Tribolium castaneum: one gene and its partner. The protein of the gene in region 1 interacts with the protein of each later gene in a pairwise test. Links are inferred from orthologs where the notes say so. Each region holds a gene or a part of one and is shown on either strand. Other genes may lie near its edges.

Region 1 (5,437 bases):
GTAGATTGCCTGGACCGTTTCACAATAAAATTATATTTTTTTATTGTGAGCCATCTCATTGTAGAAAAAATAGTGTATGCAGCTCGAATTTAATAGCTAGATGCTAAGACACTAAGTATACCTACATATACTTATACTTACTGCGACACTCGCTTACGGCTCGTGCTATCATTAAATACTTATTGTATAAAATATGTACTATCAATTTGATAAATACTTAATTAAAACAGGTTTTCCGACGACACTAAATATTTAATTTAAACTAAAAGGTTTAAAGCTCGTACTATCGAAATTATGGGCTGAAAATCAACCAAAAACTAGAAGAAAAATGAGGAAACAATTAAACAGAACCAAATGTCGTTTTTTGCACTTTTAATAAGAGAGTTTAAAAAACAAGATTTATTTCTTGATTTTTCGAGGGTACGTTATACGGTGACTAAACAAAAATTAATTACGGGTAAGCAACAAGATTAATTAATAAATTAACTAAATCAATTAGTAAAAAAATAGTAACGGACTAAAACTGAGCTAAGTTTTTTTCTTAATCAGTTGCACTACAGCTCGAATGGCCCATTTTTTGCACGATTTCATCACTTTGTTAAATTTGTGGCCAATTAGTAAAAATCGCCCAATTTAAATATTCTACCGCAACTTATTATTATTGGCAGGTGAATTGTTGCTAATTTCGGCCATCTGTTACGTACATTATTTTCTAATAATAGCCCAGCTTGAAACTGTTGATTTTTTAAGGCAAACAGATGGAAAATTGTATTTAAATAAAAACTACTGGTGCAATAAATTAAACCTAAATAAACAGCTACTTTGTTGTATAAAATAAATAAATTACAAAATGATTAATTCCCGACGATTTAAATAAATAATTATAATTGGTTTGGGGCCAATATTTCAGACTTAGCCCGACTGGGAGTCAAACACAAGAACCTAATTATATTCAAATTTATCACAAAATCTTTATTTTTCAAATTCGAGTCGCCCACGACCCCAGGTGTCCCGATACCAATCACAAATAAATTTTAATTAATTTTAGCCTTCACCAAAATTTGAAGCATAAAAAATGCAACTTGGCGCGCACGTATTTTTCGATTCTTCATCGAAGTGTTGGCGCAACAAATCGTGGTTGATTTTCTTCGGCTTCTTCCAATCTTCGCGAATTTTTGCACTCGTGTAATATTTTTTGTACCACGCTTTTTCGTCATCGGTGAGGCTCGAAACTCCCAGAGTTGAAATTTTCTCAAAGACGGTTTGCTTCATTTCTTTGTTCTTCTGGTAGTCTCTGAACCAGTCAGAGTCTTCGAAATCAATAACGGACTTGGTTTTGGTGCTTTTGGCGAAGACTTGTCTCTCTAATTCTTTCAAGTCTGGTGTTTCCACTTCACTCGTTTCGCCTTCTTTTTCTTCTTCACTCGGAATTGTTGTTTCTTTGATTATAGGGCGCCCTTTGCCCCTTTCTCGGTCCAGTTCTTGCGAAAAAATGTGCTCACGGTACAGCAGCGTGTGCTCAGGGCCGGCCTTACCTTAATTACACTTAAATTTATTTCATTCGTAATCACAAAACTGAAAAATTACCATGCCAAAGGTGTCCCTTGTAATCAATAAAAATCACATTCCCCGAAGGCTTATTATTCAAAAATTCGCAACACAACCGGCCTCCCCTACGAAAAGTGTATGTCCCTGGACCGTTGTACTTGTACTTTTTGATTTTTCCCTCAAAAGTGTCGTTATTTTTGAACATAATGCGCACATTTTCGTTTTCATTTAATTTATCGTCCTTCCAGTTTCCTTCGTAAAATTGCAAATCGTGCGTTTCGTAAACACCATGGCCTTGCCTCCATGCTAAACCACTAACATGAGCGCAAAAGTGACCCGAATATTTGTCCCGATTTGGAAAAAGAAACTCGTGTTCACCCTCTTGAAACCCCTTATTCATATTCCCGCCAAAAAACGCGACATTTATGTGACACTTTGACTGAGGGCGCCATCTTCCACCCACTAACCCAAGCGGACAATAACAGGTCGCTGTATCATAAACCTGCCCAAACTTTTTCAGTTCAGAAGTAAAATTATAAAACGCCACTGAGCTACGTCCAAACATAGAAAATTAACCAAATACCTCTAATATCTTTGAAATTATGTCTTTGAAATTAACACACAAAAAGTGCCCCCTTTTGTGCGTTTCAAAAACTGCGCTATTGACGTTTCTTTGTATACATGTCACGTCAAAATGTCAAAAATTTCAAACAATTTGTGTTAATTTCGTGAAATGGAGTACTTCCGGAGCGGTTTGAAGTCGGTGCTGGGGGCCCCGGCCCCCGGCACCCAGCCCACGGGTGCCGAGACCGTAAGTGCCCCCGAAACCCCAAACAGCTGTCCTGACCGCCCCTAACCCCACTTTTAGGTGGAGCGGCTTGTGAGTCGGGTCAGTACTTCGACGTTACTGGAGGACCGTCGCGACGCATGTCGGGCCCTTAAGGCCCTGTCTCGGAAATATCGCCTCGAAGTGGGGGCCCAAGGCATGGATGTGTTGAGACAGGTCCTGGAGTTGGACCGCTCTGACTGCGAAATCATCGGCTATTGTCTCGATACGTTGTGTAATATCACCTCGAAGGAGGTTTTTGAGGAGGAGAGTGAGAGTAATTTAAACATTAAGGTCAATGTGGGGGAGCAGTTCACTGAAATGTTTATCAAAAATGCCGAAAATGTGACCCTGGTTTTGAGTTTTTTGGAGGAGTACGACTTTAGGTAATAATTGCTTTAACTAATGACTGATCACACCTTTGCACCTCTTTCCTTGTGGAGATTCTTACTCTGTGATTTTACGAAATTTTGAAAATTAAAATTAAGTGTGTTTATATTTGAAAAAAGTTCGATAGAAATCAGAAATAATGTGATGTTTGAGTTAAGTGAGTAGTTTTTCTCTCACAAAAACCAACATTTTAGTTCAACAACGTACTCAAACACCTAAAAATTGTTAAGAATAACACTATTTTTGGGCAAATTTGCAATTTTGACTAATATATGTATTTTCAAACGGTTTAAATAGAGTGATACAGGTCAAAATAACGGTAATTTGTTTTAAGCAGTTTTGACAAAAAACTAAAGTTTTTAAATAAAAAATGAACTTAGACGTACTATTTTTAGTGAAATCTCGTGAAATACTATTTTTATTTCTAACCAAAAAATAAGCTAAAACGGTCCAAAAAGCAAAAATGAGTTATCATTTAATTAAGTATTTTTCGAACTAGTTTAACAATATCTGACAAAAACCCTAAGATTTTTTATTCAAAAACAAGTTTAGAGATGAGAAAAAGTCAAAAATAACATTATTATTTTTAACCAAATTGATGTTTCGTTTATTTTTGACAAAATTTCAATAAATAACCAAAGCCAGTAGATATACAGTATATCTACTGGCTTTGTAAATAACAAGGTAAATCGAGTCAAATATCAATTTTGATTTGTTCTTCTAGTTTTTAGCAAAACAAAGCTAAGTCAAAATTAATTTCGATTTTTTAAACAGACATACTGTGTTTTTTGCAAAAAAATAAGTTTTTAGCTGATAAACATACTAAAAATACAGAAAATAATTTTGTTTCTGACTAAATCACAAGCTAAAGCGCTAATTAACAACAAAAATTTGATTGTATATTTTATTTGTAGTGTTTTTTGGCATATTTTAGCGATATCTCGCAAAAAACCTTTAGATTTTACTTTGAAAACGTGCTTAGAGGTTGGAAAATTATAAAAATGACACTACTTTTACGCAAATTGTTTATTTTTGTCGAAATTGTGTTCTAAAACGAACTACATAATCATGTATTTTTATGAGTTTTAGTTTTCAATTTTAGCCTAGTTTTTGGAAAAAAATAAGTTTTTACTTTAAAAATTTTTCAGTTTGTTTTATTGAAATTTTGTAAATTCATTTCGTTTCTGACTGGAAAACTAGTAAAACCGCTCGAGAAGAGCAAGAATAGTACAATTAATTGCATAACTTGGTAATTTTTAGACCTGTTTGAGCGAAATCGTTCAAAAATTTTGAAATTCTAGTTCGAAATCGTACTTAGGGGGTAAAAAAAGATAAAAATAACATTATTTTTGACCAAATTACCATCAATTTCGAATTATTTTTATAATTTTCTTGATCGATTTTATTGATTGAAACTTGCTTAAGACAAAAATAACATTATTTTTTGTTTAATTTAATGATTTTCAAGCTTATTTTTAACGAAAGTGCTAGCATTCCTAACTGTAAAACAAACTAAAATGCTTATAAATGCAATATAGTAGAGTACTTTTTTTGTAATTAGATAAATTTACGGTCGGTTTTAACTGAAATTTTACAAAATTATTGAAAATTTAATGTACTTAGGGGCTCAAAATAAGTAAAGACAACTCCAACTGCCATCAGGTTTTGTGATTCGTCGGCTTATTTTGGCGAAATTTCTCTCAGAAACTATCAATAAGTCGACTGAAGCAGATGAAATAAGATCGATTTCGATCTATTTTAGAATATTTCTTAATTTTTTGGTTTCGATTTATTAAAAAGTAAAAACTACACTGAATTTACTGAATTTACAGCTTTCACCAGAGAAATACGTGTTAAAGCACGCGAAAACGGTCTAAATTAAGATATTTTCACCCATTTAATAATGTTTGTGTTTGATCGGATGAAGTCGCTTATTATCGGTAAACTAACCTTTACCACAAGGAAGGAGGTATTCGGAAGTAAAATTACCGTTGGGGGCGCCACTGAGCTAGGTCGAAAACAGTAACCATAAATGGCGGGAAAATGTTTATTCGGATATTTTGAGCGTTGTACGAATTTTGGGGCTTCACAATTATTACATTGCCTATGCGGAATGATTATTTCATCTTTGATGCAAGAAACTTATGTTGACAAATGAGAGATGACGAGGAAAACACGAATAACGAATGACTGTTTGGTTCACTTTCTTTATTGGAAAATTATTACAAAGACATTGAAAAGCCTACCTTTTGGCATAATTTACGTTTAAATGTATCAGCAGTTGTTAATCTTTATTGTAGTTTTGTAGATTTACCGCAGCATTTCATGATTTTTTCAGTGGAAAATTCTAACCTAAAATTCATAACACTTCACTAATTTATTGGTTTCTTGAGCCAAACTTTGTGTTCGCTGTGATCCATTACTTATAATCTTTAATTAGACAACTGTTTGATAACACTTTGTAATCAAAATTTAAATATTTTTCACTTTTTATCCACTTTCAAGTTCCAACAATAAACACTTTATACCACGAAAAACTACAGAACCAAAGTCAACGCTAGTATTTACCACCACGTACTTTTAAAGTAATTCTTTCTATTGTAAGTAATTAACACTATATACGCAAAATTATTGAACAATTCATTAAATGTCAGTTAAATGTGGCATTACGAA
Region 2 (5,428 bases), on another chromosome or scaffold:
TTGACTAAATATGGCCGAAAAAATTACCTAATTTTGTTTAAAATTTGCTAAAAACGATCTAAAAATGATATTCTTTTTATAATAATAATAATAATAATAATAATAATAATAATAACACTTTATTTGTAAAAACAAACAAGCGGACTTTAGAATTTTTTATGAAATTTTAGTCAAACAGCTCAAAAATTATTGTTGTTCATTATTATTGTTTTTTTCAATTCCTAAATTTCTCCCGAAAAATATTTTATAAATAAACAAAAAAGTTATTTTTTATAATTTTATTATATAATAATTTATTATTTTTACCTTTTTTCGAGAATTTTCAAAGACAATTTTCAGTCAAAAAGTTTAAAAATTCGCCAAAGTTGGCAAAAAATCACTTAAGACATGATTTGTTTTTTTTTTCGATAGATTACTTTTGTTTTTGTGTGAAAAACTCACTTATTTTAAAAAAAAAGTGTTCAAAAATTGATGATATTTTGATACTTTTTTTCGAAATTTTGGGCTTATTTATGGTGTGCCTTTTTGCGGTAAACTCATTTTTTGCGAAATTTTGCAAAAAAATTGCTCAGTTACGTCGACAATTACGTTATTTTGAGCCAAAACTATATAATTTTTTGCTTTTTGTGGACTTTCAGGCATGATTTCACTACAAGAGGCCAAAAAATCACAAATAATTAGGCAAACAATTTTTAATGAATAGTTTAAAATCATTAACTTTGCCTTTTTCAAATTTTCAAGAAAATTTTTTACTTAGAAAGCTCGATTTTCATACAAAATATTGCTCAAATTGATCTAAAATTAATCATTCAAGTTCGTAAATGGCATTATTTTTACATTTTTCGAGAATTAAGCGCAATTTTTAACAAAAAAATAGCATTATTTTCGAGTTTTTCGTTAGATTAATATTGTTTTGGAGTGAGAAACTGCCATATTTTGGGAAATTTTCTCAAAAAATGACTAAATTACAGCAAAATTGATTGAGAAACTCAATTTTTTTGAATTCCTTGTTATAAAACGCGTCAAAAAATCACAGAGAAAAATTGAAAATGACATTATTTTGGTCTTTTTCGTTAGATTTTATGTTTTTGAGTGAAAAACTCCCTGATTTTGTCAAATCTTGCCAAAAATGATCAAATTACAGCGAAATTTATGACATTTTGGGCTTATTTATGGTGTGCCTTTTTGCGGTAAACTCATTTTTTTGCGAAATTTTGCAAAAAATTGCTCAGTTACGTCGACAATTACGTTATTTTGAGCCAAAACTAAATAATTTTTTGCTTTTTTTGGACTTTCAGGCATGATTTCACTACAAGAGGCCAAAAAATCACAAATAATTAGGCAAACAATTTTTAATGAATAGTTTAAAATCATTAATTTTGCCTTTTTAAAATTTTCAAGAACATTTTTTAGTTAGAAAGCTCGATTTTCATACAAAATATTGTTCAAATTGACCTAAGACTAATCATTCAAGTTTGTAAATGGCATTATTTTTACATTTTTCGAGAATTAGGCACAATTTTTAACCAAAAAATAGCATTATTTTCGAGTTTTTCAGTAAGAAACTCACATATTTTGGGAAATTTTCTCAAAAATGACTAAATCACAGCGAAATTGATTGAGAACCTCAATTTTTTCGCGAATTTTTTGTTATAAAACGCGCCAAAAAATCACAGAGCAAAATTGAAAATGACATTATTTTGGTCTTTTTTGTTAGATTTTATGTTTTTGGGTGAAAAACTCCCTGATTTTGTCAAATCTTGTCAAAAATGATCAAATTACAGCGAAACTCGTGGCATTTTGAGCCTATTTTTAGAGTGCCTATTTGCCAATAACTCTTTTTTTTGCGAAATTTTGCAAAAAATTGCTCAGTTACGTCGACAATTACGTTATTTTGAGCTGAAACTATGTAATTTTTTGCTTTTTTTTTATTTTCAGGCATAATTTCACTACAAGAGGCCAAAAAAATCACAAATAAAGGTCGAGGTCATATTATTTTGGCCTTTTTGTTGGATGTGTCTCATTTCAAAAATTTTTGAAAAATGGCAAAATATGAGTGAAATTTTAATCAAACACTTATTTTGTGCTAACTTTCGTCGACTTTGGCACGAAAATAAAAATCAATTTGAAGTTTTTTATACTTATGTTGTTTATTAAACACCTCCCTCGCCTTCGCCTCGTGCTGTAAGCGCATGCGCAGTCCACAGCACGCGTTTTTGCGCCTACTAGAGAGGGGGACAAACGCACCTCAGCTCCCCTACTTCTCTCCACACACTTTACTCTCGTTCAACTCGCGAGTGATTCCGGTATTATCCCGAAAATGCCGCTCCGGTGAATAAAAAGTGCACGTGATGGTGGATTTAAAAGGTGAAACGGTGCCAATAACACCGAAAAAATCGCGTGGAATTTCAATGACAACAGTCAAAAATTGGCTAATGCCCGAACGGAAAACTCAAGACACGCCGAAATTTCAACGAATGCCTGAAAGTTTTCTCCGGTCGATCCGGAGGCGTTCTTTGAGGGTGAAAAGAACGAAGTCGTTGGTCTTACCGGAGAAAAGAAAGTCCGGTGAGTGTGTGGATAGAGATGCCACTCCGGTGTGTGTTTTTTTGCGAGGGAAATCGGTGAAAGTTAGCGCCAGGATGGTTATTATCTACCTGTTGGTTGTAACGACGCAGAAATTGGTGTCACGTGTGTGTTTGTGCCAAATTTTGTGGTTTTGTGGATATGTGAGTGAGAATAAATTGCGAGAAGTTGGCACCAAGTGGAAAAATTGTGAAGGAAATTGCCAAATTTTTTCTTGTTTAACAAAAATATTTTCAAACTAAATTTTGTTTGGACACCAAAAATAAAAAATAAAACAATTTTTCAAAAAAGTGTATTTTGAGGCTAATTAACTAGTAACTGAAATTTTTTAAAGGAAATGAAGTAAAAAATATTACCGTTAAAAACTTCCTTTGAATGATTTTTCAAAATTTTGACCAAAATTTTTCTGAAAACAGTAATTTTGAAGTCATTTTTTGAACAACTAGTGACGGGTTTAAAAAAAAAGAATAAACAGAGGAAATATAATTTTTGAGACCGGATTTTCCAAATAATCATAATTCGTGAATTTTCATTTTTTAGTTAGAAAATTTGGTCAAAATTTTAAATTTTTGACTTTTGAGTTAATGATCAATTAAAAAAATTACTCCGGAAAACGCTGAGCTTTATTAGATTACTTTTAAAAATTTTGGCTCAAATTTAGAGAGGGAGTGAGTTTCATTATTTTGAAAAAAAGATGAAAAGACACTAAAAACCGAACTAAAAATTTTTCTGAATCTATACATTTTTTTGCGAGAAATACGCTGAGAAGAATTTCCGAACTTTTTTCAAAAGTAATTTTGAGTGATTTTTTGAAATAATTGTGGAGAATTTTGAAGGAAATCAACAACAAGGCAGTGAAAAATTGCGCTTTTTCTGAAAATTCTTATGTACAAAGTTTTTTTTCTTAAAGAGAAAAATATACAAATCGGTAAAATTTAAATTAATAACGAATTTTCAAACTAATCAACTCGTTCATTGGAAAGGAAGTTGCTATTTTTAAAAAATTAAAGCTTTTTTAGTAAAGAAAACGATAAAATTTTGATTTTTGTAAATTTTGGCTTAGATTGGAGTCAAAGCAAACGATTTTTTGAAAAAAAAATATTGTTTTGGAAATTTTGTATTTGGTTTTGGAAATAAACTAATTCAAAATATTTAAAAAAATAGCCAATATATGTTTTTTTTTTGGAAAGTATTGTCAAAATTTGCTGTTTTTATCATTTTGGAGCTGAAACATATTTAGTTCAGAAAACGGTAAATTTTGCTTCAAATGCCTTTTTTCCAAATTTTGACTTTGGTTTTTGAAACTAAATTTTTTGCTTTAATTTTGAAAATTAATTTAACAAAATTTAACGATTTTTTGCACCAAAAATTGAGTTTTTAATGCCCTTTTTTTTACAGTTCGAATTTTTTGAACTTACGGCTAGTTTTTCAGTGTAAGTTTCCACATTCCATATTGACAGATAACGAATTTCTTGTCAAAATCTCATTCAGAGGGGGAATAAATTAAATAAGCCCACAGATTTTGGGCGGTTGTCTTAGCAACGCCATAAACAAAGGGCCCTAACACGGTTTCGCTTTAATTTGAATTCAGGAAGTAATTATGGCCACAGGGGTTACATAATTGATTTTTTTCTCAATTGAAAAACATTAGTTTTAATGGATTTTTAACTACTGAAAAATTACAGTAACGTTCTCTTATTTTATTATAATATCAAACAAAATCAGACTGTAAAACACCATTGGCGACATTGTTATCACTTGGTGATACGACGTAACGATAATGTAATAATAGAACGGTACTCGGGTTTGTCTTGTGGGTCGTTGAAACGAGGCCGAGGCAAATTTTCAAATTCTTGGAAAGCGAAAATTGCTATTTATATTTTTCACTCAGAAATTGGGATTATTTGCGCAAAGTCTTCGATAGTAGAAGAGCAGCTGTCGTAACTTTACTTCACTATTGTGCTATTCATTCGAGTCAGCTGCTGCTGAGGAGGAACATCTCGAAAAAAATTTTAGTTCGATGAACTTGAAGAATTTTTTCTTCTTGCCGTTTCCGTTTCCGTCACAGGTCGAAATGATCGGTGTTTAATACACCTTGTCATTGCTTCCGGCTAGTGAATATTATTTCAGGAAATGCAAGACTCGGACAGGAAATTAAATATTCATTATAAAAGCCGGTGTCGTGTTTCAATTGAAATGTGCCTCAAGTCGTAATTCTACAGTTGGCAAGACTGTTATTTCGCTGCTGACAGGTTGATTTGCTGCCGCTTTCCACGCAACTAGCTTGCAAATATTTTTTATTTTTAATCTTTCAGAAAATCGCAAAAACTACAATTTGGTCAAAATTTCATCAAAAAATTGCAAAATCTACAACTAGATTCTTAAAAAATAGTCATTTTTTTAGTCTTTCATTTAATTCAGCTATTTTTTCTTTATTTTTAACTCATAGTTAATTTTTGATTTCAATTAGTTTTCAAAAGTATATTAAGTATATTAATTTATAGAAGTGCCATTAATTTAATCTGCAATTTTACGTTATATGGGCGTACTTTTTATTTAAATTTTCGTTTATTGTGACTTTGAGAATTTTTTTTTTTTTGGTAGGTAGGTAAGTAAATTTTTTGGCCAAGTTGTTTTTTTACACAATTTTGTCTTAATTTGGACAAAAGTTTGATCAGCGCTAGATATTCAAGGAATAAAAAGCGCTACAAGTCGTTTTTCGTCATTTTCTTACTTATTACACATTGCAAAAATAAAAATTGACCAAATTTTGTCTAATATCTCCAAAACTACGAATCGTACAACAAAAATAAATACAGATTCGTAATCCTTGGACGATTTT

The links.
Region 2: the proteins of p115 (region 1) and CenG1A interact in a two-hybrid assay, tested with the Caenorhabditis elegans proteins (2 studies listed by BioGRID). The link is inferred for Tribolium castaneum from reciprocal best matches to the Caenorhabditis elegans genes uso-1 and cnt-2.

Annotation. Positions count from the first base shown.
Region 1 is NC_087399.1:6,665,123-6,670,559, reverse strand, and holds the start of p115 (general vesicular transport factor p115), read left to right. Parts: upstream 1-2,198; 5' UTR 2,199-2,281; coding exon 2,282-2,359; intron 2,360-2,416; coding exon 2,417-2,760; intron 2,761-5,437. Other genes in the region: radial spoke head 1 homolog, read right to left, coding at 1,045-1,535, 1,588-1,948.
Region 2 is NC_087400.1:2,514,666-2,520,093, reverse strand, and holds the start of CenG1A (centaurin-gamma-1A), read left to right. Parts: upstream 1-2,277; 5' UTR 2,278-2,351; coding exon 2,352-2,568; intron 2,569-5,428.